Oryzias latipes: one gene and its partners. The protein of the gene in region 1 binds, or shares a complex with, the protein of each later gene. Links are inferred from orthologs where the notes say so. Each region holds a gene or a part of one and is shown in the gene's direction. Other genes may lie near its edges. The genes, in order: meaf6, ruvbl1, jade2, vps72, kat6a, kat6b and kat5.

Evidence for each region.
Region 2: meaf6 (region 1) and ruvbl1 share a complex: the UniProt entries of both Homo sapiens proteins name them as parts of the nuA4 histone acetyltransferase complex. The link is inferred for Oryzias latipes from reciprocal best matches to the Homo sapiens genes MEAF6 and RUVBL1.
Region 3: meaf6 (region 1) and jade2 share a complex: the UniProt entries of both Homo sapiens proteins name them as parts of the HBO1 complex. The link is inferred for Oryzias latipes from reciprocal best matches to the Homo sapiens genes MEAF6 and JADE2.
Region 4: meaf6 (region 1) and vps72 share a complex: the UniProt entries of both Homo sapiens proteins name them as parts of the nuA4 histone acetyltransferase complex. The link is inferred for Oryzias latipes from reciprocal best matches to the Homo sapiens genes MEAF6 and VPS72.
Region 5: meaf6 (region 1) and kat6a share a complex: the UniProt entries of both Homo sapiens proteins name them as parts of the MOZ/MORF complex. The link is inferred for Oryzias latipes from reciprocal best matches to the Homo sapiens genes MEAF6 and KAT6A.
Region 6: meaf6 (region 1) and kat6b share a complex: the UniProt entries of both Homo sapiens proteins name them as parts of the MOZ/MORF complex. The link is inferred for Oryzias latipes from reciprocal best matches to the Homo sapiens genes MEAF6 and KAT6B.
Region 7: meaf6 (region 1) and kat5 share a complex: the UniProt entries of both Homo sapiens proteins name them as parts of the nuA4 histone acetyltransferase complex. The link is inferred for Oryzias latipes from reciprocal best matches to the Homo sapiens genes MEAF6 and KAT5.

Annotation. Positions count from the first base shown.
Region 1 is NC_019869.2:19,899,968-19,904,675, forward strand, and holds the start of meaf6 (chromatin modification-related protein MEAF6), read left to right. Parts: upstream 1-1,671; 5' UTR 1,672-1,815; coding exon 1,816-1,905; intron 1,906-3,106; coding exon 3,107-3,222; intron 3,223-3,309; coding exon 3,310-3,397; intron 3,398-3,473; coding exon 3,474-3,519; intron 3,520-3,604; coding exon 3,605-3,794; intron 3,795-4,708.
Region 2 is NC_019863.2:3,774,876-3,779,580, forward strand, and holds the start of ruvbl1 (ruvB-like 1), read left to right. Parts: upstream 1-1,798; coding exon 1,799-1,939; intron 1,940-4,031; coding exon 4,032-4,118; intron 4,119-4,206; coding exon 4,207-4,339; intron 4,340-4,705. Other genes in the region: eefsec (selenocysteine-specific elongation factor), read right to left, coding at 814-1,117. UniProt on the Homo sapiens protein: Possesses single-stranded DNA-stimulated ATPase and ATP-dependent DNA helicase (3' to 5') activity; hexamerization is thought to be critical for ATP hydrolysis and adjacent subunits in the ring-like structure contribute to the ATPase activity.
Region 3 is NC_019872.2:3,879,663-3,883,748, reverse strand, and holds part of jade2 (E3 ubiquitin-protein ligase Jade-2), read left to right. Parts: intron 1-107; coding exon 108-262; intron 263-4,086. UniProt on the Homo sapiens protein: Scaffold subunit of some HBO1 complexes, which have a histone H4 acetyltransferase activity. Acts as an E3 ubiquitin-protein ligase mediating the ubiquitination and subsequent proteasomal degradation of target protein histone demethylase KDM1A.
Region 4 is NC_019869.2:7,277,421-7,282,140, forward strand, and holds the start of vps72 (vacuolar protein sorting-associated protein 72 homolog), read left to right. Parts: upstream 1-1,709; 5' UTR 1,710-2,113; coding exon 2,114-2,230; intron 2,231-3,841; coding exon 3,842-3,994; intron 3,995-4,720. UniProt on the Homo sapiens protein: Deposition-and-exchange histone chaperone specific for H2AZ1, specifically chaperones H2AZ1 and deposits it into nucleosomes.
Region 5 is NC_019867.2:24,405,136-24,409,221, forward strand, and holds part of kat6a (histone acetyltransferase KAT6A), read left to right. Parts: intron 1-154; exon of another isoform or gene 155-374; coding exon 375-490; intron 491-1,187; coding exon 1,188-1,329; intron 1,330-1,477; coding exon 1,478-1,639; intron 1,640-1,738; coding exon 1,739-1,832; intron 1,833-1,940; coding exon 1,941-2,172; intron 2,173-2,346; coding exon 2,347-2,542; intron 2,543-2,629; coding exon 2,630-3,310; intron 3,311-3,384; coding exon 3,385-3,646; intron 3,647-3,726; coding exon 3,727-4,086. UniProt on the Homo sapiens protein: Histone acetyltransferase that acetylates lysine residues in histone H3 and histone H4 (in vitro). Component of the MOZ/MORF complex which has a histone H3 acetyltransferase activity. May act as a transcriptional coactivator for RUNX1 and RUNX2.
Region 6 is NC_019877.2:10,227,488-10,231,573, forward strand, and holds part of kat6b (histone acetyltransferase KAT6B), read left to right. Parts: coding exon 1-168; intron 169-435; coding exon 436-595; intron 596-2,049; coding exon 2,050-2,310; intron 2,311-3,093; coding exon 3,094-3,391; intron 3,392-3,473; coding exon 3,474-4,086. UniProt on the Homo sapiens protein: Histone acetyltransferase which may be involved in both positive and negative regulation of transcription. Required for RUNX2-dependent transcriptional activation. May be involved in cerebral cortex development.
Region 7 is NC_019872.2:15,158,471-15,162,214, reverse strand, and holds part of kat5 (histone acetyltransferase KAT5), read left to right. Parts: intron 1-1,094; coding exon 1,095-1,145; intron 1,146-1,435; coding exon 1,436-1,510; intron 1,511-1,579; coding exon 1,580-1,636; intron 1,637-1,979; coding exon 1,980-2,147; intron 2,148-2,243; coding exon 2,244-2,318; intron 2,319-2,420; coding exon 2,421-2,483; intron 2,484-2,726; coding exon 2,727-2,975; intron 2,976-3,744. UniProt on the Homo sapiens protein: Catalytic subunit of the NuA4 histone acetyltransferase complex, a multiprotein complex involved in transcriptional activation of select genes principally by acetylation of nucleosomal histones H2A and H4.

The DNA of each region.
Region 1 (4,708 bases):
GGCGCCTCTCTGCACAGCCTACACCTTGGGTCTTGTCTGGTGTGGTAGATCTGAGCCTCTATGCTCTGGTGCTCAGGGCTTGTTCCTGAGCTGCCAGGATGAGTGCTTCGGTGCTGTCCTGTAGGCCAGCCCTTTCAAGCCATTGGTAGGACTTCTTGACATCCGCCACTTCAGTTATGCTCCGTAGGTACATCCCATGCAGTCCTCCCATGAGGATCTGTCCTCCACTGCTTCCTTTGCTCTCCATTGCCTGAGACATTCACTGAGCACACTGTCAGTTGGGGCCTTGAGCTTGATGTATTCATGCATGTTGGATGTTTCATCCTGGATAGTGGCTTCTACGCTCACTAGTCCTCGGCCTCCTTCCTTGCGGCTAGCATACAGTCTCAGGGTGCTGGATTTGGGATGGAACCCTCCATGCATGGTGAGGAGCTTTCGTGTGTTAGCATCCATGGTCTGTATCTCTTCCTTTGGCCATCTTATTATTCCTGCAGGGTATCTGATTACTGGCAGTGCGTAGCTGTTTGTTGCCCGAGTCTTATTTTTGCCATTGAGCTGGCTTCTCAGGACTTGCCTTACTTGTATGAGGTATTTAGCTGTTGCAGCTTTCCTTGTTGCCTGCTCCAGGTTGCCATTTGCCTGCGGAATTCCAAGGTACTTGTAACTTTCCTCAATGTCTTCCATTGTTCCTTCTGGGAGTGGGACCCCTTCTGTGTGGACTACTTTGCCTCTCTTTGTCACCATCCGGCTACATTTCTCGAGCCCGAATGACATCCCAATGTCAGTACTGTAGATCCTGGTGGTGTGGATCAGGGAGTCAATGTCACGCTCGCTCTTAGCATATAGCTTGATGTCATCCATGTAGAGGAGGTGACTGATGTTGGCCCCATTTCTGAGTCGGTATCCATAGCCAGTCTTGTTGATTATTTGGCTGAGGGGGTTCAGACCTATGCAGAACAGCTGTGGGGACAGAGCATCACCATGGTATATCCAAAATTTGATGGACACTTGTGCAAGTGGCTTCCCATTGGCTTCATTTCCTATGAAGAGTCCTTTTGATGTTGTACAGCTCCAAGCATTCAGTGATCCACGTGTGTGGCATTGAGTCATAGGCCTTCTTGTAATCAATCCAGGCTGTGCACAGGTTGGTGTGTCGTGACCTGCAGTCTTGAGTGACTGTTCTGTCAACCAGGAGTTGGTGTTTGGCTCCTCTGAAGACTCTACCAATGCCCTTCTGTGTGTTTGCTCATGTATTGATCCATGTGCCTATTTATCTTGGTTACAATGATGCCAGACATGAGCTTCCATGTTGTGGATAGACAGGTTATTGGGCAATAGTTGGTTGGGACTGCACCCTTTGAGGGATCCGTCTAGATCAGGATCGTTTGCCCTTCCGTTAGCCATTCGGGTGAGTCCCATGAGCAGCTGGTTCATTTGTGCTGGCAGACGCTCGTGGAGTGCGGTGAGCTTCTTTAGTCAGTAGGCATGTAACATGTCAGGGCCCGGTGCTGTGCAGTTTTTCATACCTGAGACTCTTTCTTGTATGTCTGCCACTGTGATGGTTACTGGATTCTGTTCAGGGAGGTTGCTATTTTCTTTTGTCAGAGAGACCAGCCACTGGGCATTACTGTTATGTACTGTCTCTTTCTTCCATTTACCTTTCCAGAACTCAGTTCAAGTATAAAACAAGGTAGGAAGAGGGTCCTTTCACAACGCTTGGGCGCCACCTTGCGGTCTTATCTTTGTCGGCACCAACGCGTCTCCAGTTTTCCTGAGCGCGCGCGCCTCCTCCCGTCGGTTCCGGAACGAGCCATCATGTCGATGCACGCGAAGGCGACCCCGCCGCAAATCCCGGACACGCGTCGGGAGCTGGCGGAGCTGGTGAAGAGGAAACAGGAGCTCGCCGTGAGTCCGCAGTTCTGTTTCAGCGGGTTAAATGTTTTTTTTCGGAACCCGGGTTTAGCGCGCCAAGCTGAGATACCCGAGCATTAGCTTATGCTAGCTGAGCTAGCAGGCCGCAAAACCTTTATTGTGAATTGTCCTAACTAAGCATCGACCAAGAACAAAAACACTTTATCCTCACATCGAAAAAAACATTTAAAGTTTGTGTTTCTGCGTTTCATGTTTGAATGTTTTATTTTTTCACGTTTTTTGACGAACAAAATCCAAATTAGTTTACAGACCTGAAGCACGAACAGTGTGTTCTCGCGATACCTTACGTTTTGAAACTCTTTATTGTTCAACACCGTTGTTTACAGAGTGGAACCTACTAAGATTTAGTAGTGAAAAACCAAGTTACAATCGCGTTACATTTCTGTCATAGGTTATTTTTCTTATCTTTTTGCGACTTTTACTGTTTTCATCTCTAGTTGTGCTTCTAGTAATACTCTAAGTAATGGAAAATGACCTTTATTGTAAAGTACTAGTGCGTCACTTAAAATTACTTTTTTTGTCTAACATAAAACGTTTAACAACAAATTTGCTTAATTACCCAGTACTGTAGTAGTAGTTTTTTTGGTTTACATACTCGTTTGGTTTACATACTCGTTTTTTAACATGTTGTTATTGTTTGGACGACTACTCTTTAACTTTTGCCTCCTTAACATTATTTAAAATAATGTTTTGCTTGTACTTGAAAGATGTTTCCCGTCAATTTATTGACCTTTATTGACAATAACAAGCGTCAAATTCAATTAAAAAGTCTCAAAATGGAATTTTTCTTGAATTTAGTTGGAATGTATAAATGCATGTATCCATCATCTACCACTTCAAAGATAGAAAATGTTTTTCTAGTTGTATACTGACTCTGCAGTCTTGTGGATTTCTATAAACATTGAATTTAGTTCATAAATTGGAAAATTAGATGATTGGGTTGATCAACTAGGAAGAGAAAGACCAATTCTGGAGCTGAAAAATTCAAAGTTTACCTCAAGTGGCTAAATAATGAAACAATCTTTACCAGAACCTCAAGAGGATTTTCAAGTTTTTGATGGTAAAAATAAATGAATGAAATAAATTTTAAAAAAGCTATCTTTGTGAAAAGATAAGCACTGATCTTAGCTTGACCAATCAGAACGTCTGCAGTAAAACCGTTTTAACGACACAGGAGACGCTGGTGAACCTGGAGCGGCAGATTTACGCCTTTGAGGGCAGCTACCTGGAGGACACTCAGATGTACGGGAACATCATCCGAGGGTGGGACCGATACCTGACCAACCAGAAGTGAGTGTGAATGCGGCAGACTCCGGTGAGGTTAGATCTTCTGTGCGTTTGCTGATCGGGTCCTTTTCTTTTTCTGCGATCAATCAGGAACTCCAATAGTAAGACTGACCGGAGGAATCGCAAGTTCAAGGAAGCGGAGCGTTTGTTCAGCAAGTCCTCTGTCACGTCCGTCGCAGTAAGTACTTCCTGCGCGTGATGCGTTCAGCCATCTCATGTGAAGTTGCTCCTCAGTGGTCTCTTGTGATTGGCAGGCAGTGTGTGCGCTCGGCGGGATCCCGGATCACATGAACGAGAAGCGTGAGTCAAATTTGCCTACTTTCCTGGTGCCTGGGCCTCCTCAGAATGCCGGTTCTGACTTGTTGCCTCCCGGGGGATTCCCCAGGTGAGGCCGGCAGCGGCACAGAGAGCGATGCGTCTCCAGACCTTCAGAACCAGGAGAACGAGCCGAGTCAGGAGGACACGGAGGACGTGGACTCCACGCTGCACGACCTGAAGCCTCAGAAAGCCGCCTCCTCTTCCTCAGGCAGCCATCACGGGAGCTACAAGAAGAGGAAGAACAAGAACAGACACAGGTGAGGTGTGGGCGGGGTTAAAGCTGAGCCGCAGCAGATTCACCAGAACTTTTCTGTTTAAATTTGGAGATTTACAGCTTTAACAAGGCAAACTAATATATTTGTGTTATTAAGATCAAGAGAACAGATTACACTTAATAAAAATTACAATAATTGAACATTTTTACAAAATATGGTGATTTTTTTTTTTTTTTTTTTTTTTTCCGTCTTCTTCTGACTAAAAAAGTTGAAGTAGAAAACGTTCATTTCCTAAAAAAAATGCTCGTGTGATTGCTGAAGCTGGCTACAGATGATGATGATGATGATTAGGGCTGAAACGATTCCTCGAGTTACTCGACTTACTCGATTACAAAATTTCCTCGAGGAAAAAACTCTGCCTCGAAGCCTCGTTACATTCCTATGACGCGCACTATACGCAGGGATTTGATTGTGTCACACGGACCTTTTGAATTTAGTTGGCGCGATGGCGGAGAATAGATCTATAAATAAACGGCAGAAATTGTCTTAAGTGTGGGATCATTACACACTTAATAAAGAAGAGAACAAGGTGCAGTGTCTGTACTGCAAAATAGAGCTGGCATTCCACAACAGCACATCTTCCATGATTCAGCATCTGAACAGAAGACATCTGCGCGACCGCTGGAACCCCGACGCCTTACCCGCGCGTGCCGCCGGCAGCGAGCGAGGGGCGGCGGGCCGTGGAGGGGGCGCCGATAGGCAGGGGCTGGGACAGGCGGTAGCTCGCCTTTCGGCGGACCGCAAGGCTTCTTAACATTTGCATCAGAGCGGATCTTTAAAATCAAATGCTTGTTCATTTTACAACCACATCATTTTTGTTATGCATTATTTGTTTTGGTTGTTCAAAAACGCACACAAATCGTTTTATCCGATTACTCGATTAATCGATCGATTAA
Region 2 (4,705 bases), on another chromosome or scaffold:
TCACTTTTTAATTTGAACAGTCGATCTATAATAATGAAGGGTCATTCAAGGTCATTCAAGAATGAATAATTAGCCTATTTTACTTAAGTAAACTTAACTTGTTCCTGAATTTCTTAAAAGCAGATTCAAATTAATGCAATTTTGTTGTTCAAATGAGGAAACTTTGAAAACCAAATGTTATCGTGTTTTCAGGATAAACATTAGGAGTTGGACTCATCCAACACTTTGCTTTCCCTTGATCAGTTCTTCAAACATATGAAGATTTATAGAACATGTAGATGATTAATTCTCAAATGTTATGAATAATATTTATTACTTGGTAAATATCACATTCGTTGTAGTAAATAGAGAGGCAGAAAACCATCCTGTCCATGTTTTTGAAATGAATTCATGATATATTTTAACTCAATAAAAACCATGAAAACCTGGAAAACTGCCACAATAGTCATCCAAATAAATCCCTTGTTTTAGTTTCTTTGCATCATATTTTTGTATTTTTATTCTTATTTTATTCCGCTTGAAAAAGTTCTCTGTTTTTGGTCAAAAGTAAATGACTATATTATAGTCTCTATAAGATTGGCCATGTAACTGTTCCCTACCAGACACTGGATGTCAGTGTGTTCTGATGTGATCAATCAATCAATCAATCAATCAATCAATCAATCAATCAATCAATCAATCATATAACAGAACAGCCTTTGCCACCATTGCATACTGTCTGAATGCCTCGGAGGGCTTGGGAATGTTGGACCTTGAGCCCCTGACCCTTCATGATGCTCAGTCCATCCATGATCTTCCACAGGTTTACGTTACCTCCGATAATTGTTCGGATCAGAGAGGCGTGGCCTGGACAGTCCACCAGGGTAAACTGCAGACTGTCGTACGGCTTCAGGCCCCCGCCGTCCCGCAGGTGATCCGGACAATCCACCGTGAAGGAGGAGAAGCCGAGGTCTAACGTGATGCCTCTCTCCCGGGACTGTGGGTTCTTGTCGAAAGCAGCCGTGGAGGCGGTGCTGCTCAGCGCTCTGGCCAGCGACGTCTTCCCGCTGTCGACATGTCCGAGGACCCCCACGTTGAAATTTAACGTTTTCGTGCGGCTGTCATGAGACTCGGACATCCTCTCGAAGTTTCCGAGCACGAACGTTTTCCTACCTTGAAACCTGAGCACCGCGTTGATAGTTATTTGGAAAAAAAATAACGTTCACTGCGTTAGTTGGTCAAATCAACAAGTCATTTTCGGTGCCTAAAGTGTCCCTAAAAAACTGCAGAGTTTATGGTGCTTACACTTTATTTCGTCCCCGATTACAAGACGAACCGGAACGTTTATATGCGGGGAACAAACCAAAATAAGAAAAATGTGATATTTAAATATTACAATTTAATAAAAAAATATAACACAGAAATATATTTCTATGTATAAAATAAATATTTTAAATTATCGATCAATTAGTGTTTTTTATACTGAGGCCTTTTTTGTGTGTTTCTATTACAACAAAATAAAACGAAGCACAGGAGGAAACAGGGGTGTGGTTTCAACTTTGATTGACAGAACATTGACTAATCAGAAATGCTCTTATCATGAGGAAAACCAATGGTTTTCAGACTAGTTAAAATGGGCGGTACCTCAGGGGTGTCGATTCCTGCTTTTTTCCCCTGGTAACCCACATGGAAACCGTGTTTTGACTTTTGGCGCCTCATGTAGTGGTCAGAGAAACGCAGACACTTAGGTGACATTTTTTAAACTTTACTTTGCGGCTTGGACAGTATTATAGCCAGTGCTCCTGTAACACTTGCAAATATGAAAATCGAGGAGGTAAAAAGCACCACAAAGACCCAGCGAATAGCTTCACACAGTCACGTCAAGGGACTCGGGCTAGACGAGGCCGGCAATGCTAAACAGACAGCATGCGGACTGGTCGGACAGGAGGCTGCCAGAGAGGTGATGTTAATCATCTTTTTTCTGTTTCAATTGTATTTTATTTTCCTTCAGACATTACTTGCACATAAGTTCCTATGAGAACACGGTAGCAAATTGCTAACCCCTGATGCTAACTGAGTTAGCACAGCTGCGTAGTTTTCTTCTCAGATAACCTGCGAGACTCCTCCTTAGTTAAATTAACACACAGTTTCCAAAGTAGCGATTTATTTTTTTTATTTCATTTAATATATTTCTTAAATTAAATTTAAAAAAATGAATTGAAATCTCTTGATTATATTTCCATCATACAGGTACAATTTTTATTTTATTGGGAAAGAAAAACGAAATGTGAAACTCAAACTAAGGTATATTTCTTATTACACATTTGTAAGTCGACAAAGAATCTACATCAAAACCGTCATAAAGTCAAATGTGATCTGTAGATTATTTAATTTTATTTATTGGATGGAACTAACAGCACTGACAGTTATTTCTTTATAATGGAAAATTGTTGGAACCATAATAAACAGTCATCATATTATTTTTTTTGTGTTTTTTGTTTGCTATTGTTACATTATGGCTGCTAAATAATTAAAAATGCAAAGAAAACTCTAATACATTATATAGATCGCAGTGTATTTTCTAGACTCTAAAGTGGAACAAGGCAGGATAATCGCCTCTAAAACACGTTTTATTTTATTTTTATTTGATGAAGAAGTTCATAACAGGATTTTCAACTTAATTTCATGATGTATTACTTCAGTTTTTAATTTCATTCCATTCTAAAAGCAGTATTGGGTGGATGTTAAAATATGTTTTTACATGCGTCGGAGGTTTCAACTGACCGATTGCACTTAAACACTGTTTTGAATTCTTACCTAAGAATCATCCTATTATAAGGAAAATTAAAATCAACACTGCACTGGCAAAGTTAAAAAAATAAACGATAATAATAATAATTTCCGTTTGTGTTTTTACCTACCCAAACAAGATTGTCTGTGCTGGTTTTAAAGGGCCAGTATCATGGTATTCTTAAGCCTTTTTTAGGGGGGGGGGGGTCCTGTGGTAGCATATTCTGTGAACTTGAGTGGGCGGTGGGGAGGGGGGGGCGACGACGACATTATATGGGATTTCTACCGAATATTAATGTAACGTCTTGCTTTAAATTTTTAAAATTTGAACATGTTTTTGTGTAAAGCACTTTGAGGGGCTCTAGAGGGAAAAGTGCTACACTAATAAAGTTTGATTTGATTTGATACGACGTTGAAATGACATTTATAAATCTCAGTTTGAGTCCTGCAAAAATGTATATCACCAAAACAATATCAATGTATCTGATAATACATCCTGTGGCACACAAAAGAACAAATCGACCTGCAACTTTCACGTTTCTGTTTATTAGTCTTACTCAACATCGTAGTTATAAAGACAGTTTTCCTTTTTCCTCATTGTTATACTTTAAACTAGGCCTGCACAATATACCGCAAATTTATCGTTATCGCAATATCCAGCTCTGCAATATGCATATCGCAAAAGACGGCGAATATCGCAATAAATCGCAAGCCCAAAATGTGTTAAAACAATCTTCTAGCAGCTTGAAGCATTTAACGAATCAAATAAATCCCTTTATGCTTTGACCAATCAGATGGACGCCTTCCCATTGTTGACCAATCAGATGGAGGCCTATTATGTTAACCCTGGTCCTGAAGAGCCTCAACCCTGCCTGTTTTCCAGCTCTCCTTAACCAGCTTGCTGTTGATTGGCTGACTCAAGTGATTTCACATCCTGATTGACTGAACACACCTGATTTTGGTTATCATTATCGAGCAGTCTAGGGAGAACTGGAAAACAGACAGGGTTGAGGCTCTTGAGGACCAGGGTTAGCCACCCTGACGTTTGTCCCCCATGTCGATGAGGGTCATTTGGAGTATAATTTTTAAACTGTTGCAATGAAATGGGAATGATGTTTTTGTTTATTTTTCTATTTGTTTATTTACCGCAAATTTATCGTTATCGCAATATTGATCACTAATATCGCATATCGCAAGTTTTCCTCATATCGTGCAGCCCTACTTTAAATGTTGTATTTCTCTTTGGTTTCTCTACCCTTTAGGCTTGTGGCATTATTGTTGAGCTGATCCAGGCCAAAAAGATGGCAGGAAGGGCCATTTTACTGGCAGGACCCCCTGGAACAGGAAAGGTAAAGCATCAGTGAAGATGCCGGCGGACTCTAACGCTCGTCCTTCATGCAGACTCTTACTGTGACGCCGTGTGTCTTCTGCCTTTAGACGGCCCTGGCTTTGGCCATCGCTCAGGAGCTGGGGAACAAGGTTCCGTTTTGCCCCATGGTGGGCAGTGAGGTCTACTCGTCTGAGATAAAGAAAACAGAAGTATTGATGGAGAATTTCAGGAGGGCAATTGGTGAGTGTAATCGATCCATTTATCCAACAGGAACCATGGCAACCAAGCCAGATAGTTTTGGAATTATATCCATGAAGACATAGGGTTTGTTAAAGCAGAGAAAAAACGTTTTTTCACAACTTTGCAGCGTTTGAAATAAGCAGTTATCCTGTTGTCAGAGACAACCAGATTTCCCGGAGGACAACCCCAAATGAACACGATGGTTGTCCGTGTGACAACCTGGTCTTTTATTCAACATTTTTGGGAAACCGACGTCCGACTTATCAAGATAGAACCGAGTGTACACGAACGATGTCACGTGACGTCTGAACGATCCGAGTACGCCCGAAGAAATCGCAAAATGACAACATTGCAGCTGCATGTCTG
Region 3 (4,086 bases), on another chromosome or scaffold:
TGTTTTCAATGAGGTTCAATCTTGAAGCCCAAAGATCACTTTTGTGTGCTGAGTCAGTCAGTTTCTTGAGGAATCAGAAAGACAAACACTTTATTGATGTGTTTCAGGTGTCTGCCGGCATCCTTGGCTGAACTGTCCAACAATGGGCGGCAAAAGGACGGAGAGTCTCATTTTTCCCGCCCTCAGCCGTACACCTGCTACGACCTGGATGACCTTGATGTTGCCTGGCTGCAACTGGTCAACCTGGAGTTCAGACAGATGGGTAAGTAAAAAATGTCGAGTTTAAACTTTTAAAAGAAACAATAAATATGCTTCGATGCATCATACATCCTGTTTTTGCAGTTTGTGGTTAGAATTTGGACAAGAATGCATTCACAACTCTTTTAAAGCAAAAACATCTCAAATTTTACTTCAGTTCCTGCAAAAAAAAGACATTTTTAAAAGTCTTACTGTCTCATTTTTAGGCATTATTGGGATTTATTTTTATATCCCGCATTAGTCCTGGTCTGCTAGGACCACATTGTTTTTGCAATTCTTCCTTCCCTCTGCGCGTTTGAGGGAAAATTTAATCCTTTGCCTCCGACTCAAAAACTTACTAAGATTTTCACGCACCTACTACCCGGGGAAAATTAATTTTGGGCAGATAGATGGACCTCCTCAAAAAAATGATGACGTCTTATGTCGCTGAAAAAACATATTTTTCCACAAACAAACCAAAACAGGGAGGTCCAATGGAAATTAAAAAATTATTATGGGATGGCCACAGGACATTTAGCTTGGCGTCCGTTTAGTGGTAGAGTGTGAAATTTGGCTGATTTTCTTATTTTTCCACAATATGGGAACAAGGACTTTTGTTCGAGTGAACGTCATAAACCTTCACACGCACCACAAGGTTAGGTGTACAACCATCCCCGAGTTTTGTTGACCTCTGACCTTGAGAAAAGGCTGCCATCTTAAACCTTCCAATCTGTACAAAATGATATAACATGAAATGTCAGTATTATGAATGTGGGCGTGGTTAACAAAAAGCCTCAATTCAATTTAATTCAATTATATTTATACAACCCAATATTACAGTAGTTGTGTAGTAATAAACATGAATCATAAAGAACGTGAAGTCATAGAATATTCAATAGGTAATGGCTAAACTAAACTAAACAGACTAAGCTAAACTGGACATGTCTGCCCTTAGACCCTCCTTCGCGGTGAGGAAAAACTCCTAAAAAAAATAAAGGAGAAACTTCAGGGCTGTCCACAGGAAGGAGTGGGCATCTCTTGCCAAGTAAAATCCAAAATGTACATTCCCAGATTCCTTTTAGAGTTACACGGATCAATTCTCTATTCCCAGACAACAGGGAAGTAAAATGGTTGCCATGGAGAGAAAAAAAATGTTTTAGAAAAGCTGACATTTTGGAAAAAAGTTGTTTTTTCTTGATGACAACCGACTTACTACATATTTGTTTCTATAAGAAGTCAAAGTTAAAGGGGAAAAAAAAGTCAATGTCAATTGATGCTGATGTTAAGCTGAGCTCAGAGTCTAATCACATAATGTCTCTGACATTTTTAGCTGTAGTTTGTCTAGTTTTTGAGGGTTTCAGGTATAAAAGTAACATTTGTCTAGAGACACAGGATTTACACCTTCTTTTTCTAAAGAAAAACTTCTCTGAGATCATTCAAATCTAATTTAACGTCTGAAGAAACATTTACACAACTTTAATTTGGTCTTAAAAACTGTGCAGTGTCCCTGATTATTCCTCCCCCTTCCATCCCCCTCTCCCTCCCCTCTGATTTGCTGCACTCTCCATTTTGTCATGGTGACAACTGCTGACCCCGAGCATCTCCCACATCTCCACCATTTTATTCGATATCTGATCGGCCCTCGTGAGATAAAACAAAGTAATTGTGTTAGTAAATCCCCGCTGGGGTTGCAGGACTTTTTCTGGTACAAGTTGTCCCTTAAATCAAACAGACACACACACACACACACAGGCTCTTCCTGGAGCAGAACGACTTGTTTCTCATAACCTTCAACAACAGATTAAACAAAAAGAACAGAACATTTAATGGGTTCTGCTGGCTGAGACTCCAGATTTTAGATTGAGGTGATTCAGCATTTTTCTGCCTCTGCTTTCCATCATCTTCATAGGTGGAAGGGACGTCTTCAAAATGTTTACCCAGAGGATAGAACTCATCATCGAAATGATTTTTTTTAGCTACAGTTACACATTTTGCATGAACTCCCATTTTCGTTGCAGAAGAGTAATCGTGACAATATCAAAGATTAGGGTTTTATGTTAATGATTAGGATTTATACCACAGTAAGTTACAGTTAGAGAAGAGCAAAATGCTCCAGTAAATTTATTTAAATGTGATAAAACTGTTGTACTTTTCTTTTCTTTCAAACCACCCAAAATTGTTAAGCGGAAAAAAAATCAGATGAATCAAAATGGACATCTTCAGGTTTTCAGAATGTCCTCTTTGTTCACATTTGTGTCTTTTGTAAATAAAGGGTTTTTTTCTGACATGAAATCAAATTCTATCATTTTGTCATTGTAAGACTCTGACACTAAGAGAACATCAAAGTACTGTGTTAAAGAGACAATACTTTTGTTACTGTGGAGCAGAAAAGCATTTGTCAGTCACTGATTCTGTAAGTTTGGGCTGTAATGTTTACCATTGAAACACTTCAACTGTGAGAAACGGAGTGTCAAAAAAGAATCTATTGAATCACTATGAACCAGTATGACTTTTCTTTTAAAGAATCTATTTATAATAGAGGAGAAAATAAGTTTTTGACCAATAGCAAAGGTACACCTCAATACTTGCAACCCTGATTGTTGATGACAGAGGTCAAAGGTTTCTGTAGGTCTTCAGTAGGTTCGCACAGTAGCTGCTGCTCTGGTCCATTCTTCCATACAGATCTTCTCAAGAGCTATTATGTTTTGGGGCTTTTGCTTGAAAACTCCCTCCGCTGATCGTCTATTGGATTAAGGTCCAGAGACTGGCTTGAACACTCAAGAACCTTGAAAAGATTTTCACATAGCCACTCTGTTGTTGCCAGAGTGATGTGTTTGGGATCATTGTCCTGCTGGAAAATCCAGACATGTTTTATCCTCAATGCAAGAGAAAAAATTCAGTGTACATCCTCTCCTTAAAAGGAGCCCCAAACCATGATGTTTCCACCCTCATGCTTCAATGATACTGTTTTTTGGAATGTAACTCCTCCAAACACGCCAATAAGTGATTATACCAAAGAGTTCCATTTTGATATTATTTGACCACATGACTTTCTCCCATTCATGATCCGTTCATCCAGATGGTCTTTGGCAACGTTTAGACGGTCCTGTGCATGTGGCCTTTGGTTTGAAGCCATGTTTGTTACTATCGTAAGCTCTCTTTACTATGGTCAAAGCTTTCTTCTTTTCATTGGACAGTGCTCCCATGTAGTTCTTGCTTTCATCCTCACCATTCCCCAGATCATTTGTACCCCACCAGGTGAGATCTTGCATGGAGCTCAGGTGGAAGAACAGTGATATTGTATTTCTTCCATTTTCTAATAACTGCTCCAACAGTTGATTTCTTCTCATCAAGCTGTTTATTTATTGTAGAGCGATTCATTCCAGTCCCGTTCAGGTCTACCATGTTGTCCCTGGTGTCCTTTGACAGCTCTTTGATCATGGTGGACAGTTTGCAGTCTTACTGTTTAATGGTGTGCATAGGTATGTTTATACAGATAACCAGTTCAAACAGGTGACATTAACACCGGTAACAAGTGGAGGACAGAAGAGCTTCTTAAAGAAGAAGTAACGAATCAAATCGAATCAAATCAAACTTTTTTAAATTAAAAATTCGGTGCCTGTGAGGGGCAGAATTCCTGCTTGTTTGAAGGAGATAAACGCTTATTTTCTGCACCATTATACAAATCATACAATTTCCTGGATTCTTTACATTCTGACTCTCACAGTTGTAGAAGTTAAACATTACAGAACTCTGGTAAAAAAAGCAAAAAAACAAGCGTAACTCTAAATTCCTCTATTGTGTTGGTTTTTTATTTTTCCTCATCTTTTGGCTCATTAATCCTTTTGA
Region 4 (4,720 bases), about 13 Mb from region 1:
TCATTATGTGGAGAGAAAAATACAAGACGCGATTACGGAGGTGGAAAACTGGTCTTATGACTGGGGATTCAAATTTTCAGTAACTAAAACAAAATGCATGGTTTTTACTAGGAAACGTGGAACTGTTTTGAACTTAAGGTTATATGGAGAAGCAATTGAGCAAGTACATAGTTTTAGGTACCTGGGTGTTATATTGGATACAAAATTGAAATGGAGAGAGAACATTGATAGTATAGTAGGGAGATGTAAGAAAGTCATAAATATAATGAGATGCTTGAAAGGTACTGGGTGGGGAGCTAGTGCACAGGCTTTAAAACAAATATATATTACAATGATTAGGTCAGTCACAGAGTATGGAATTATTGTTTACAATACAGCGTGCAAAACATTATTACATAAAATAGAAGTCATCCAAAATCAGGCTTTGAAAATATGCACTGGGGCTATGAGGTCAACTCCTGCTGTGTCATTACAAGTTGAAATGGGGGAGCTACCATTGAAACTAAGAATTAAACAGCTGATGCTTAACTATTGGGTGAAAATACAGGGTTGTGTAGATGTAGAGAACATGGTTAGGAGGGCTATTGATCCTTGTTGGGAAAGTGATAATGGGACAAATGAAAGTGCTGCTTGGAAATTAGCTAGGTTAGCGAAAAAAGCAAATATTCATGGCAAAACCCTAGTTAAGACGTTTTTGTACCCGACCACTCCTTTCTGGATTTTTCCAACTGCGCAAGTGGATTTGTATCTCCATAGAACAATGGAGGATAGAAAAGGGAAGGGAAACTGGGATGAGTTAACAGCAGACAGATTAGACACAGCCCACGCTTCATTTATACCCATATATACAGATGGATCTAAAGACCCAGCAACAATGCGAACTGGTTTTTCTTTCTGTATCCCTACATTGGACAAATCTGTTGGAGTTAAGACGTCAAAGGATCTTTCAGTTTTTACAGTTGAAATGTTGGCAATATCATATAGTTTACACTGGCTAGAACAGAACAGAATTGGGGATGGTATAATTTGTTCAGATTCATTGTCAGCTTTGATGTCTCTGAAGTCATACAATTCTGAGAGCAGATCAGATATTTTATATGAAATTTATGAGAGTTTGATCAGGTTGGCAAACTTGAAAATAAACATCAGATTCATGTGGGTACCAGCACATAGGGGGGTGGAGGGAAATGAAATGGCTGACTTCCTGGCAAAAAGGGCATTGAAACGGGGAATAGAGATGGAAATTCCATTAGATAGGACAGAATTTAGGGCAATTGTTAGGAGGCGTATTATGGAAGAATGGCAGACACAATGGGAAAGGGAGAGGAAAGGAAGACATCTATTTAGTATTCAGGACAGAGTAGGGAGAGGTATGAATGTCAGAGTAAACACCAGAGATAGCTGCATAATATCACGGTTGAGGATGGGACACACTGGTTTAAATAATACATTGCATTTGATAGGGAAACATCCAACTGGTTTGTGTGAGTGCGGGAGAGGGGAAGAGTCGGTGGAGCATGTGCTATGTCAGTGTGAACTGTATAGGGAGGAAAGACGACAACTGGAAAGTAGGGTACGGATGATAGAGGGTGAGCAAATGACTTTAAAGAAGCTTTTGGGAGGGGAGGAGAATTTCAATGGTGCGATTATAGGTTTTTTGAAAAGAACTAGGTTATTGAGGAGAATTTAGTTTATTATTATTATTATTATTATTATTTTTTTTTTTTTTTTTTTTTTTTTTTTAAGTTACATTTGGTTAGGTAATCCCCACTCTGACCCACACTCCAACACAGTAGGTGGCGGTAATGCACCTTCACGTTAGTGCCTCCCGCCAATAAAATCACAAGAAGAAGAAGGAAGTGCTTTCCGTCACCCGGATGTGCTTTCCACAGTTCTGTAGTGTTTTGCGCTGTAGTTATTCGTATTTATTACTTGAAGATATTGCTTAGAGTGGCTTAAACGCCACTTAAATTGAAAAATGTATTAAATACAGGCGGCCTTTCATAATTCATTTAGTGCAGAAAAACGCAACGAAAGCGTGAGTCTGGTGTTCCACTGACAACCGCTGCACAACAAGCTAACCCGGCTAGCGGTGTAGCTAACAGCAGGTACTATGAGTCTGGCAGGAAGCCGTGAACCCAGAAAGACTGCGGGAAACCGCATGTCGAAGCTTCTGGACGCCGAAGAAGAGGACGAGTTCTACAAGACCACCTATGGAGGATTTCACGATGTGAGTCAAACAGACCTGTGGCTGCAGGAATGAATAACTAGTGAGCTGTTACCCAGAGAATAAGGGATAAGATGAACAATATGGGGAGAAAGTTGTCTCACTTTTAAAGATGAGAGGACTGTGATGTTTAACTTTAAGGTACACTTCACCTGTAAGAGACAAACTAGAAAAAGAAGCAGGAAATCACATTGTAGGATTTATTTGTATAATGGTGAAGAAAATATGTGTTTGTCTTCCACAAACACAAGAATTCTGTCCCCAACAGACCTGCTACTTCTTCTTCATGAGTGCTACTGTTCTCTCCTGCATTAATGTCACCTGTTTGAACTGCTTATCTGTTTAAAAGACACCCGTAACATAACAGCTGTCGAATGGGACAAGACTGTAGACCTGAGCAAGACTGAGATGAACCAATCTACGATAAACAAGCAGACTGATGGAGATCAACGGTTGGAGCTAATATTAGACGGTCACTGGCAGTCTCTTTCCAACTGGGGTTGGATGGAATCTCTTATTTGTGGGGTTCAAATGATCTTGGGAAGAGTATGGAGACAGAACCACAGGGGGGGATCCGGTCAATGACCTGAAGGGAGCGTAGATCATAGACGCTCCAAAGGTCCCTATGCTTGAGTCAGCACATGTCCAGGCCTGCCTAAAGTTGGTCAGAGACCATCTGGATGATCCAGAGGAAAATTTGGAGATTGTCATAGGGTCAGATGAGACAAAAATATGTTTTTTTTTGGGGTCTATCCTCTTGAGAACCAGCCCATTTATTTACGTCCTCTGTAGGCAGAAGTTGTTTTTGGATTATTATTTGGCTCATTTGAAGCTAAATCCTGATGTGCTCAAATAAGGATATCCTGGCCTTTCCAATAATATCTTGTGTGTTTGGGTGGAATTATGGGAAGTTTGGTTTCCTGGGGAGACAAAACGGAGTCTTCAAAGGTCATAAATTAATATGCTGGTTCTCAGGAGGAAGTGTTTGGAGGAGCGGCGTCCCAAGAACACCGTACCCACTGTGAAGCATGAGGGCGGGAACATAATGCTTTGAGCCTAGATCTTCCATAATGGCAATAATCCCCAAAACAGCACCAGGGCAACCGAAGAGCGGCTACGAAAAGACATTTCAAGGTTCTGAAGTCGTCTAGCCAGTCTCTGGAGCTCAGTCCAGTAGAGAACCTTTGGAGTCTAAAAACATCACTGCTCTAGAGAAGATTTGCATGGAAGAATGGACCAAAATATTAGCTACAGTGTGTTCAAACCTGGTGAAGACCAACAGGAAACCTTTGACCTCTGTCATTGACACCAGGCTTACATTACAAAGTGTTGAAGTGAACTTTATTTATTGTCCAAATACTTAATTTTTTCTCTATTATAAAAATTCATTCCTTACAACAAATCAAACTTTGTGATTTCCTGGATCTATGTTCATATTTTGCTGCTCACACACTTGAAGTGGACAATGATGTTCAGAAAATGGGTGGAGCAGCAAACTTTGAAACCTTTAAATAGTGAGAAAATCTGGACGAATTTAGCAGCTGCTCCATTGTGTGGAGAACCACCTTTTTTCAGTTATTTCATTGTTCTCTTATCTGGGCTTTTATTTTGCAGGAATCGGGAGATGATGAATATCACGGGGAACATTCAGACACTGAGGATGAGGTTGACAGTGACTTTGACATTGATGAAGGTGATGAGCCGGATAGTGACCAAGAGGAAGACGCTCCTCGGAGGAAAAGCAGAGTTGTTACTAAAGCTTACAAGGTATTTTGTATTTCTTTCAACTTCATCAGCCTTTAAATGAAGCTTCTTCATGAACAAATGGTCTTGTATTGTGTTCTTTATCGTTTTTGCGTTTTTTGATAAAGTAAATGTTTGTTTCACTAATGTATTTGAGCTTCTGTAGGTCAGTTAAGTGTCTTTCTAATCTGGAAATTAACTCACTGCATAGTGTTAGGGTCAGAATGACCCTTTTTATAGCACGGAGTTATGTTTTCTTGTTTCTTCAGATTGTTTTGTTCAATCCCCCATAAATAAGGAGACAATTCTACTAAACATTTGAGCATTTGCTTTAAAAAAACAAAAAAACTGGACTTCATTTTTTTGTTCGTTACTAAAATCTTCACAGAATATTTTTGACCCTTGACCCAACGGATGTAATCGTTGGAAGATGTACAAATATTCTAAAGACGTTTATTTTGAAAATCTGTACAGAAAAACAAAACTATTGTATTTAGATAATACACTTACAAATGCTTCCACTGTGGAAGGTCATCCAGAAAATATAAACATTTTTAATCAATACTATTGGTTTTCTTTAAATTAATTACAATAAAGGAACATTTCAAAGACTGACTACTTTAGGCTTAAATCATGCTATAAATCTCGCCTCCTTGAAGAACAGCATTAAAGCAGATTTGAAATAAATACCAATAAGATTTGGATGTTTTTAATTAGGATTGACTTGTGAAAGTGTTGGTTTTTAGTTTT
Region 5 (4,086 bases), on another chromosome or scaffold:
TCAGCATGGATAATTGATCCAGATAACAAGGACAGCTGCTTTGCCACAGGAACTCTTTTGAGTTTGGCATTCTTCTCATGACTGATAGGAAATACGGCAAGATCGGAAAGACACAGAGGCCTGACAGTTTAAGCGCACTAAATAAATGAATTACCTTGATGTCAGAGGCTTATGTGCTGCAGTAAAGTCAGGCGAAGGTGGGCGTTCTGCCAGCTATTGAACTGTGAAAGGTCAGCGTGATTATCCAGGCTTAGTGGCAGTGATTCAGAGTTACGTGTTTGTCATAAATCTTACCACAATGCTGTGAAGAGGCTCCAGGGAAATGTTCATTTCCCTGTTTTCCCCATCCTCATATTCATGCTCAACCCCAACAGAAAGTGGGCGTGACGGGTCCGCCTGACCCTCAGATGCGCTGCCCAGCCGTCATCGAGTTTGGCAAGTTTGAAATCCAGACTTGGTATTCATCTCCCTACCCGCAGGAATACAGCAGGTAAGTTAACATACTTCAAAACTGCACATCAACACAAAGCTGTTAGTGAACAGGTCTGTTAACCCAGGGGGGAGGAGGGGGTGTCACGGACCTCTGCCGGTCCGTGAGATGTAAAGGGCCACACACCAAAAAGAAAAACGTTTTTCTGTTTTATTTACTATCTCATTCTGAAGGAAGTTTAATGACATCTGACTCTTTCGTCGCTCTGTCACGTGTCAAAAAGGCATCCACTGCTTTCTTAAAGCGGCTGCGCCGTTTGCCAAATTAAAACCCCCCAAGCTAGAAAAGTTAGCAAAAAAAAAAAACATTTGGAAAGTTTCTTTTGGCAGAAAAGAGTCTGTAAGGAAAAAGAAGAGCCTTTGAAGTCAAATTAAAAAAAAAAAAAAAAGAAGTTTCCTTTAACAGAAAAACCATCAGTTATTACTGTAAATGTGGATTTATTGTGACAGTTGATCGCACACACCATGATAATAATGCATAATATGAAACTATGGGCAAAATAAAAAAAATAGACCAGTCTGTGAAAAGTGTCTGACACAATCCGGTCTGTGGCCTGAATACGGTTGGGGATCACTGTGTTACACCACCTAACAGCCAGAACTACTTAGTCAAATACTTAAGGTTGGACGTCTCTGCAAAAGACTTCAAAATGCTCCCCCTACTGTTTCTCCATGGTGTTGCATTTCTGTCATTCTAGACTTCCAAAGCTGTACTTGTGCGAGTTCTGCCTGCGCTACATGAAGAGTCGCAGCATCCTCTACCAGCACATGAAGAAGTGCAGCTGGTTCCACCCTCCTGCCAATGAGATCTACAGGAAAGACGACGTCTCCGTGTTTGAGGTGTGGAGAACGGTCGAGTCCTGCGGGCCTCAGTCTGATCTTTTTCTCTAAAGCGCAGCTCTTGTCGTTTTTAAAATCCTTTCTCACCTTTGGGATTGCCAGACGTTCCATGTGTTGTTAACTGATGCCTGTTTTCCCTGCCGACTAGGTGGACGGAAATGTGAGCACAATCTACTGTCAGAACCTGTGCCTGTTGGCCAAGCTGTTCCTGGACCACAAGACCCTGTACTACGACGTGGAGCCGTTCCTTTTCTACGTCCTCACGCAGAACGACAGCAAGGGCTGCCATCTTGTGGGCTACTTCTCCAAGGTACAACCACGAGCGCAAAGGCTTGTTGAAAGACTTAAATAAACAACATTAACACTTTCTGTATGTTTGAAATAATCATTTGTCTTTTTTTTCCCTCAGGAGAAGCACTGTCAGCAGAAATACAATGTATCATGCATCATGATTCTTCCGCAGTACCAGCGCCAGGGCTATGGGCGCTTCCTCATCGACTTCAGTACGATTTCTAACCTCAAACTCATCACTCATAGCTGAAAAAGTCTCTTATAAAAAAAAAAAAGAAGATTTTTCATTTAATCTGCTTTTGGTTTACGTTTCCTTTCAGGCTACTTGCTGTCGAAGCGGGAGGGGCAGCCCGGATCTCCGGAGAAGCCTCTGTCCGACCTGGGCCGGCTGTCCTACATGGCCTACTGGCGCAGCGTTGTGCTGGAGTGTCTTCACGAGCTGCGGGACCGACAGATCAGCATCCGGCAGCTTAGCAAAATGACAGGGATCTGCCCGCAGGACATCACCTCCAGCCTGCACAGCCTGGGCATGCTGGAACAGCGAGGAGACGGGTCAGGACCACAGCTGTGTTTTTAAATTCGTTTTTGTCACATTACTCTGAGAACAAAGATGCTGCAGCCTCTACATTAGCACATAAAAGCTCACATGAAAGGTTGACACAAAATCCCAAAGTCGCCTGACTTTTGACCTTTATTTTGAAATAACTTCATGGTTTTCCTCCTCAGACTTGTGTTGGTGCGAAGGGACAAGGTTGTGGCCAACCACATGGCCCGCTTGAAGGCGCGGCCACGACAGCTGGAGGTGGACCCTGAGTGCCTTCGCTGGACTCCAGTCATCGTGACAAACACGGTGGTCTCTGACGCCGACGGAGACGACGATGATGAGGACGAAGAGGGACCAGAGGGGGACAGTCGCAAGGATGTAGGTTTGAGTCTGCGACCACGACAAAAATGCTTTTGTAGTGCCTCATCTTTCATTTTGACGGCGTTTGTTTTGATCTGTAACCAGGTCAAACCGAGCCACAACTTTTCTTCGTCCGCCTGGCAAATCCAGCAAGCGAGAACCAAGGACGAGGAGGATGAAGACGATGAGGAAGAGGAAAGGAAGGGGTTTTTGGGGTTTCCTGTAAGTCAAAGCTCTCCGGCTTCCCCTCCCGTCCGCTCTCAAGCAGCTCTGTCCGATCACCCGCGGCCCTTTCTGCCAGCAAACGGAGAGCGCCGGCCGCGCGGCCGCCCACCCAAAAACTGGCCTTGGGGCAAACTGAACAACAGCCCACGCGTGGGGCGCCCATCCAAAATGCGGCCCATGGACGACAAGGACGACGAAGACGAGGAAACCACGGTGGAGGGGAAACCGTCGTCGAGCTCCAGGAGCCCTCCATCCCTTTTCTCCTTGGACCATCAAGCGGACTCTCCAGCCTTTCAGGGACTCAACATGGCCAGGCACCCCTCCGTAACCCCCACCCGGAGGGGCCGCCCCCCCAGAAAAAAGAGAGGCCCAAAGCCCAGACTGGCAGACGGGGAGGGTCTGATGCCGCTCTCTGTGATGTCCCGGTTGAGCGATGCGCTGCCGGTCCGACGGAGCCACTTCAGTGAAAGTAGCGAAGAGGAGGAGGATGAAGATGAGGAGGAGAACAGAGCGTGCTCCCCACCCATCCTCACAAAGACAGCCATGGGGCTCAAATGCAAGGTAAGAACCTCCTCCTTCATGTTTTTGGCTGCAGCTGGTAAGAAGTGGAATTAATCCACTGTGTTTGTGCCCAGAAGCCCCTGAAGAGGCCTCGTTTTCGCAGTCGCAGCCACCCTCAGAGCAGCGTGGTAACGGAGACCATCTCTGAAACCACAGAGGTGTTGGATGAGCCCTTTGTGGACTCTGACTCTGAGCGGCCCATGCCCCGACTGGAAGAGGAGCCCTCCCTGGGGCACCCGATGCGCCGCTATCCCCCTGCAAGATCCGCCCTGATGTTATCTGACCCTCCTTCGAAGAGAGGCCGCCTTTCCAACTTCTCCGACTCAGAGGAAGATGGTAGGAGGGCTGGCCCCTGTAACCTTGTAGGTGTACCTGAAGTCGACCTTCTAACTAACTCTGTCACGTTTCCTCCTCAGACTTCACACCAATGCTGAAGCCTGTAGCTTCTCTGGCTGCAGCTCCGTCACAAATGGCCAACGCGGATGTCCCAGTCAAGAAGAAGAAGGGTTGGCCAAAAGGAAAGAGCCGCAAACCGCTGCAGTGGAAGAAACAAGGACCCGAAAAATCACCCAGCGAGGCGTTCAGCCATCAAACGTCTGGAGATGGCCTCGGCGCCGGCGGGGACCCCGAACAGCCCAAAATCAAAATGAAGCCGGGTCGCAAACCCCGGAGCTGGTACCTGCAGCGGGCGCAGGAGGAGACTGAGAGGCAGGACAAGGACAGACAAAGGTCGCTTGAGCAGCACAAAGACGACGCGACCAAGCGGGCCGGCAGAG
Region 6 (4,086 bases), on another chromosome or scaffold:
TCGCTTATCCTACCTGGCATATTGGAGAAGTGTCATACTGGAGCACCTTTATATGCCCCCAGATAAACACATCAGTATTAAAGGAATAAGCAGAGCCACTGGGATGTGTCCGCACGACATCGCCGCCACTCTCCAGCAGCTCGGCATGATTGACAGACGAGATGGCAGGTCAGTTTCCGAGCCTCAGTCTCCTTTAGCCCGCGCTTCTGCTGCTGCACGCCGTCTGACTTAACCAGGTCAGCAAGTATTTTTAACAGCATATCCATTATTGCAGCTGAATATTGACAGAAGTAAGTCAGGTTAAGAACCCCAAAGGATACTTGGCACCTGCGGTCCCAAAGAGCTCGTCGTCGTGTCTGTATTTAACCACGCGGCACTTTACCTCTGTGCCGTTAATTCATGCTTTTTTAAAATGTTTGAATCTGTGTGTCATAGGACTGTGTTAGTCAGAAGAGAGCGACTGATCCAGGAGCACATGGAGAGGCTGAGAGCCTGCCCACGCCAGAGAGAAGTGGATCCAAAGGCCTTACGGTGGACTCCTTCCTCCACTCTCAACCCCGTCCTGTCTGAGGAGGAGAGGGAGGTGGAGATGGATGTAGGTTTTTTTGTTCCAGAACCACGTTTGGGTTTTTTTTCTGTTCATGCTCTCCTAAAATGATGTTTATTTAGCCATTTTCAGGCATCTGATACATTTGATCACTCTCATCGACTGTGAAAGCGCTATCGCAGTTTTCTCACCAATATTCTCTCAAAAAGGAGGGGATGGAATACAAAACAAAGGTGGATGGAAGCAGTTGAAATATGTCTTTTATATATCACCCCCAAAAAAGATTGGAAATCATTTACACATCTATCCCAACACAAATGAAAGAAAAGGCCTTGGTTGTGCAGTCAAGTATTGTAATAAAACAACAGAGAGGGAGATTGAGGAGCGCTTTGTTATCTGCTTGAATCATCCAAACAGCTGGTTAATTGTCCCATTAACTCGTAGCCGCTGTGTGTGTTTATCCATTTATGTTGCTGCTGCAGATCCATGTTGAAATGAATGTGTTAAACGGACAGTACTGGTTCAGTCACAGGAAAGCACAACAGAGTGTTTGAACGCGCTTCGTTTCCCTCAGAAGGAACAAAAAAGCGAAACTAAAACGGTTTCATTTTGGTCAAAGTCCCACTCTGATCATCTTTTCTATTCTAAAAGCGTTCCCAGTGTTCTTTTAATTCGGAGTTTGTTGTTTTTAGCCAAAATTTAAAAAACCTGTGTCGTTTTCTAGGAGATAGTTTCTGCAAAGTGGCAGTAGTTAATTAGAATTTTACCCCTGAGTTTTGACAAGGAGTCTATGCCTTCATTTCCCATCATCCCTCGTTTTACACGCTCTCCCTCTAGCTTACAGCCCCCAACCTAACATTACCGGTGCAGAAATAAAAAGTAGCTAGCAATATCGGAACGTTCCAGCTGTACAGTTTTGAACCGGATACCAGCTCGGATGAGGAAAACAAAGACGTACATGGATCTGTTTGTCTACAAGTGGATGCATCAGAATGAAGTGAAGCGAGGAGCTTGGGGCTTGCCCAGTGGATATTCTGCGACACAGTTACGATCTTTTTCAGACTGGATTTTTTTCCCTCTGCTTTATCCAAATTGAGAAGAATTTGGATAAAGAAATCATCAGAAATGCAATTTTTATCTTAATTTTCCTTTATACAAGTCCTCCATTATGAGAAAAGTTCCATTTTCATCGGAGTGGGTCTTTAAGGGGGTAAAATAAGGCCAGTAATGGAAAGGCAATCTCTGTGTCACCACATAATTGATAGTACTGAATATTCCATGAAAAGCAATCTTTTAATGGTTGCTTAACAGAAATGTTTCCATCACGACCTGCAGACATCCAATCAAGGAGCTGCTCATATTAAGTGGAAAAACGTGTATTGATTCATTTGTCATGATGTTAATTCGAATCACTTGTTTTCCCATTAGCCTCGTTGCTCAGATATTCCATCCCTGCGTGCTCCTTTCCCAGAGATAATGCGTCTTGTCTGTTTAATTACCAGGCTGAGCGGCTGAAGGAGCGGGCCAGTTGCTGGGAGAAGGAGGAGAGGGAGGGCTACACCGTGACTCACGGACACAGGCAGCCTCTCACCAAGGTCCACTGCAAGATCCCCTTCCGGACCTATCAGCGGCGGCCCACTCCCACCTGGACCAGGCGAATCCAGCAGCCGGAGGCAGTAAGCGACGACGAAACCGATGAGGACTCCGATGCCTCGCCGCCCGTCCTGAAAAAAGCTCACGCGATACTGGCCGCCAAGAGAAAGGTGCCTTTTGGTGTTTGTGTGACAGATGCAGGGCATCACTGGTCTGCAGTTGTAGTCTGTGATAAAGTGGAATTGCATGACATTTGGATATTATCTTTCATTAAGGAGCACAGTGGTTACTTGAGTGAGATGGAAAGGTTTGATAAATATTCATAAATTTAGTTTAGGGTTCAGTGGCTTCCTCCTGTCATCTGCAGCCTCCCCGTGTGCCTGCAGCAGCAGATAATAGATTGTGTTTTCACTGCCGGTGTTGAGCCTGTGCAGGCTAAACCTTGTACCATTGTCAGTGGTCATGGTTAATTTACCGCCCTCTTCCCTGCGCCTCACATCTGTTCTGTCTATAAGGCACTGCCCCCTTGTGCTGGAGATAATAACACTGCCGGCTGCGCCATGTCAGGAGACCTTTTCAACAAGAGAGGCATAGAAGCCCGAAAAGAATGACACCGGCTTTTGGAGCTTATTTAGTGCATTACAGTATTGATTTCACATTTTCCTTGTGAAGGACTTTACAGCAGAAAGTGGCTGAGTTGCAGGCAGCTGGAAGGAAACAAGCGGAGAATAAAAAAGCTAGACCGTGGTCTCTGCTTACTCTGCCTTTCTCATTTGTGGTTTTGCACAGCGAGCTCCATTGCTTAAACATTTAGTCTTTCTGTGTGGTTTAAACATTTTGCACAGACTGAATATCTTCTATTCTCGCTTGTTTCTACACCTAGTGGCCTAACCAAAAGAGCGGCTCTGCTGTGCAGGAGGCGTTTATAAACCCCTCTTTGCTCTGTGTTTCAGAGAACCGCCATTCTCAAGAAGAGAGGCCGTAAAAGGAAGCAGATAAACAGCAGCGTGACGACAGAAACCATCTCTGAGACCACGGAGGTCTTGAATGAGCCGTTCGATAACTCCGACGACGAACACCCCATGCCCCGGCTAAAGCGCAGCTCAAGAGGGGACGAGATGGAAGATGACGACGATGAGGAGGAGGAGACCCGAAAGCTGAAGACTGTAACTGTGCCTATGAAGCGGCGGAGAGGTCGCCCAAGGCTGGAGAAAAACAAGCTGACGAGCAATCGCGAGTTCTGGAGTGAAGGTATTTGAGCGCGTTTTTATTTTACAGGATGTTTCTCCGTGGTAAGACTCTGAAGATCTGTTGTTCTGCCTTTGATCCGTAGATTGCCTTCTGTCTAAGAGAACAAGCAAACCTCGTCCAGTGAAGCGGAAGAAGGGCTGGCCCAAAGGAGTGAAGCGTGGCCCTCCTAAATGGAGGTTAAAGAATGAACGAAAGATGGGCTTCAAGCTGAACCTCTACACTCCTCCTGAGACACCAATGGAGGCAGAGCAGCAGCACGAGGAGGCAAAACAGGATCCAGACCAGGACTTTGGAAGTGCAGATGAAGGCAGCAAAGAAGGGAGAGGTTTTTCTAGTCCAGTCATGATGCAAGAGGAGGTCCACTGTCCACCCTCGAGTCCTCCTCAACATCTATCCCAACATCTAAGCTCCCCTGAAAGGTCCCTGGAGACGTCTCCGGTGTGTTCTCCTGCTGGCTCTGTCGATGCGGTTTCTCCTGCAGCCGTGGAAAGAGGGGACTCCACGGAGCCAGCTGAGGAGGACCAACAGGGAAGTGGACGTGAGCAAGACTCATCAGCCAAAGATTTGGATCAGAGCCCTGAGGGGGCCGTCTCCCTGAAGACCAACAGTGTTGAGGAGGTGGAGCTTCAGGATGCAGATGATGAAAGCCACAGCAAGGCAGCAGGACCCAACAGCTGCGCGGAAGACTTTGAAAA
Region 7 (3,744 bases), on another chromosome or scaffold:
TAATTACTATAATATTTTATAATTTATTCATGTAAATGCTGTGCCTAAAAAAGAACATATTTTAATATTCTTTACTGTTTTATTTCCTGAATAAGTTATTAAACTGCTGAAGCAGTGTGTGGAAAAACTTGGTAAGACCATAACTTTCTAGAAATGAGAAGAATCTTTAAGTAGCAGCCAGTTTGGGTTTGCTTGAGCATCTGGTTACCAACAGGTGTTTGTTTTTGTTAGAAAACATCAGGAAGCTTAACCCTTATCTCAGAGTTTAAGGACCTCATTTAGGATTTTTCATCCCAAAAAATGTTTGTTACAAAGCAATCTTTTTAATAAGGAACACTGCAGTGTATTATTGTTTAAATGCACTATTCCATTGTTCACAAAAACACTATAAAGAGTAAATCAAACCCCAAATTCCTGCTAGACGGCTGCGAAGAATTGAGCATTCAGGTTTTTGGCATTTATATCAGTCAGGCTGAGAATTTCTGATTTATCCTTTTAAACTTGAATTAATAAGACCACGATTAGAATCCATCTATGATTTGGTTTAGCAATGTTTCATCTTTGAGATTTGCAGCTGACCTCTTTATTTTTCTTGGCCATGAAAAAGTTTGTCCAATAATTATGGCGTCTGAAACAAAGTAATTGGGAAATTTGCTTTATTTTTTACACACGCTGCTCTTAACCTTTTTTAAAAAAAACTGGATTAGGTAGCAAACTAGTGATCCAAGAAATGCTGTTAATCTGTGGAAAAGAAAAAGTAAATCAAAGTTTTCAATTTTTCCACACACTGCCTTTTGTGTTTTTGTTTCATTGAAATGAATGATGATCTCCTGGTTTACTTTATGTAAAATTGTATTAACTATAAAATCTCTATTCTTCAGTCTTTCTTGCTCCTTAAATGTGTAATTAACTAAGCCCTTAAAGCTGACTGGGACTACTTTCTTTTTCACTACTGAGACAAAAATCCCATATTATTGGTCCTTGAACCCAAAGTCTCAGTATTTTTCTGTTTATATGTCAAATGTGGATCTTTTGTATCATGTAATGACACCCCGCTGTCAGCCCTTAACACATGTCTGCTTTTCTCCTGTGAGGTGAGTGAGAAGAAAGATACAAACAATGACACAGCTTTGCAGAAGAAACAGGTAATATAACACCAGACATAATTGTTTTTAAAAAGAAACAATGTCTAATTTTTTCAAATTGTTTTAAAGAAGCTTGTTATATGTTGCTTAGCCCGGTTGATTTAATGAAACTCTGAAACACAAGCGGCATTTATAAACCAATCAAGAGACTTATTAATTTGCTATTAATTCTGTTCCAATCATGAAGTCGAAGTCTGTTCGTGAGCCGAAATATCAACCTGCGGCTGAATCCTGCATGTCATTAACCCCGTGTCAGTTAATGCCCTTATCTTCCTTTGTGTTCAATTCAGAGGAAGACTCTAGATCTCAACCTCCAATCTGCCACAGCTCCTTCCAGAGGCAAAACCCTCCCCACGCCGGTACAAGTAGAATTTACCCATTCTGAGACCTAATTAGAACTGTTATCATACTAGCTTGACTGTATCGCTCTTTAGCTCAGGTTAGAAGTGCAGCTGAGTCAGAAGAAGAAAGTCGTGGCGCTACAGAAAAAGGTCAAGATGCAGGGATTTAGTAACAAGTTGGTTGTTACATTTTTTGGGGGGGTTTTGCTTATCAACACAGCTTATAATCTGTCAAAGAAGTATGTAGTCTGTTCAAGTTTCAATAATTTTAGATATTGAATGCAATATATAGAATCCTTCTAACTGCATAGAGGATAAGAGCACAATTCTGTCGGTAGTAAAGTCATAAGGAGTGAATAAAACATTTGGATAATTTTCCTTTGCTTGTGCAGGATTTTCAGGGGTTAAAGTAAAAAAAAAAATGTCCTGGTCAAATGTTTATCTATTTTTCCCCCATTTTAAAAGGATTTGTAATGATGTATATTTGCTGCAGAAGAGGAAAGAGGTGGTTCCCCTGGTGACTCCGGTACCACCCGCCACCCCTGTGCCCGCCCTGCCGAGCTCAACTGAAACCTCCCAGGCGGCTGTTTTCCCTGTCGTAAGAGAGCCCCCCCCCTTCAAGGCGCGGGAAGACCTTGAGCCGATTCCCACAGTCACAACGGTGGAGCAAATCTTCTTTTCTTAAATCATCATGAACTTCTCTTCTAGGTTTTACAGTTTTAGGAATAAGCAGCTGTTTGTCTTCTTTTGGCTGTAGAACGGCACCGCCCGGCGTCTAATACCCCCTCAGCCTGGTAGAAAGAGGAAAGCTAACTGTGGGGGTCCTGATGAGGTATGTAGCAGCTCGATTTTTAGAAGATTTTAAAAACTCGTCAAAGTGCAAAGGTTTCATTTTGTTACTTGCATTAAGATTCTGCCACCATGTGTTCTCTAGATGATAAAGGTGTTGCAGTATAACAAGCCTCAAAGTGCCGCCGTCTTTCTACCCCCACCAGAGGTCTGTTCATTTACCTGTTATTGCTAATTTATTGTGTATTGAAGTCCAAAATCAGCTGTTTATATTGCTCGAATAAATGATTGACTCTGGTTAATGTTGATCCAATTTTGTTCTCGGTTGGTAAAATCAATATCTATGATTGATCTTTACAAAACAGAATCTTGTTTAGTATAACCCTGTGAAACCGTTTTGTAACTTGGTTTTAAGGATCAGCTGGGACTAACGGCCACTGTCTTCGTTTAGGACTCCCAAGACAGTTCTGATGGTATACCGACAGCACCCCGCATGACCGGCAGCCTGGTGTCAGATCGCAGTCACGATGACATCATCACCCGCATGAAAAACATCGAGTGCATCGAGTTAGGCCGGCACAGGCTCAAGCCGTGGTACTTTTCGCCGTACCCACAGGAGCTGACCACTCTGCCCATTCTCTACCTCTGTGAATTCTGCCTCAAGTACCTGAAAAGCCTCAAGTGTCTCCAGAGGCATCTGGTGAGATTTTTGGGGCTTTTTTTGCTTCTCACCTTTCCTGCCCTCTACTGTTTCACTGCATTAACAAAGCAAACAGTTCCTAAAAAGAATAAAAAGTGCTGCCCTCTTCTTACTACCAAGTATTTGTGAAAAAAACATTCACGTCATTAAATCAACACTTCTGTGAGGCACAGTGAACTTAAACTGACAAAAATGAAGTGCTGTGCAATGAAAAAAACAAATTACTATTCTCGTGATTTTACACTGCGAACCCGTCTAAAGACTCAGTGACATATTATTAAGGTGTGTTCTTATATATTGACAAAATACGAAAAGCATTTCCCGTTCAACAATGCAGTGAGCATCAGTTGCATTAATTTTGCAATAATAATTTATCATCCACATGGTGCAGGTGAGGATAAGGGAGACTGACTGAGAGAAATGAGCAGCTCAGAAAAATTCAGGCTCTGCAGGAACCTGTGATGCTCCTTTTTTTCTTTTTTAAATTGCATCTTTTTTTCCATAATTCAGTTAAAATAAAAACCCAAAAAATGGTTCTGTTACTTTCGAAAGTAACATATCAGCACAGATAAAACCCAAACGGCACCCATCCCTAAATTTGTGTCCCCTTTAAGACAAATATAAACTGAGACCATAGTCATACATGACATAAAATGTTTACTAGAGTCTGCTGGCATCTGCAGGCGGTCTCCCATCCTGCTTGACTGTTTTCCATCTTCATCCCACAAAAATCGGTCAAATGAGACGCTCGAGTTTGGAGTTTCTCTGT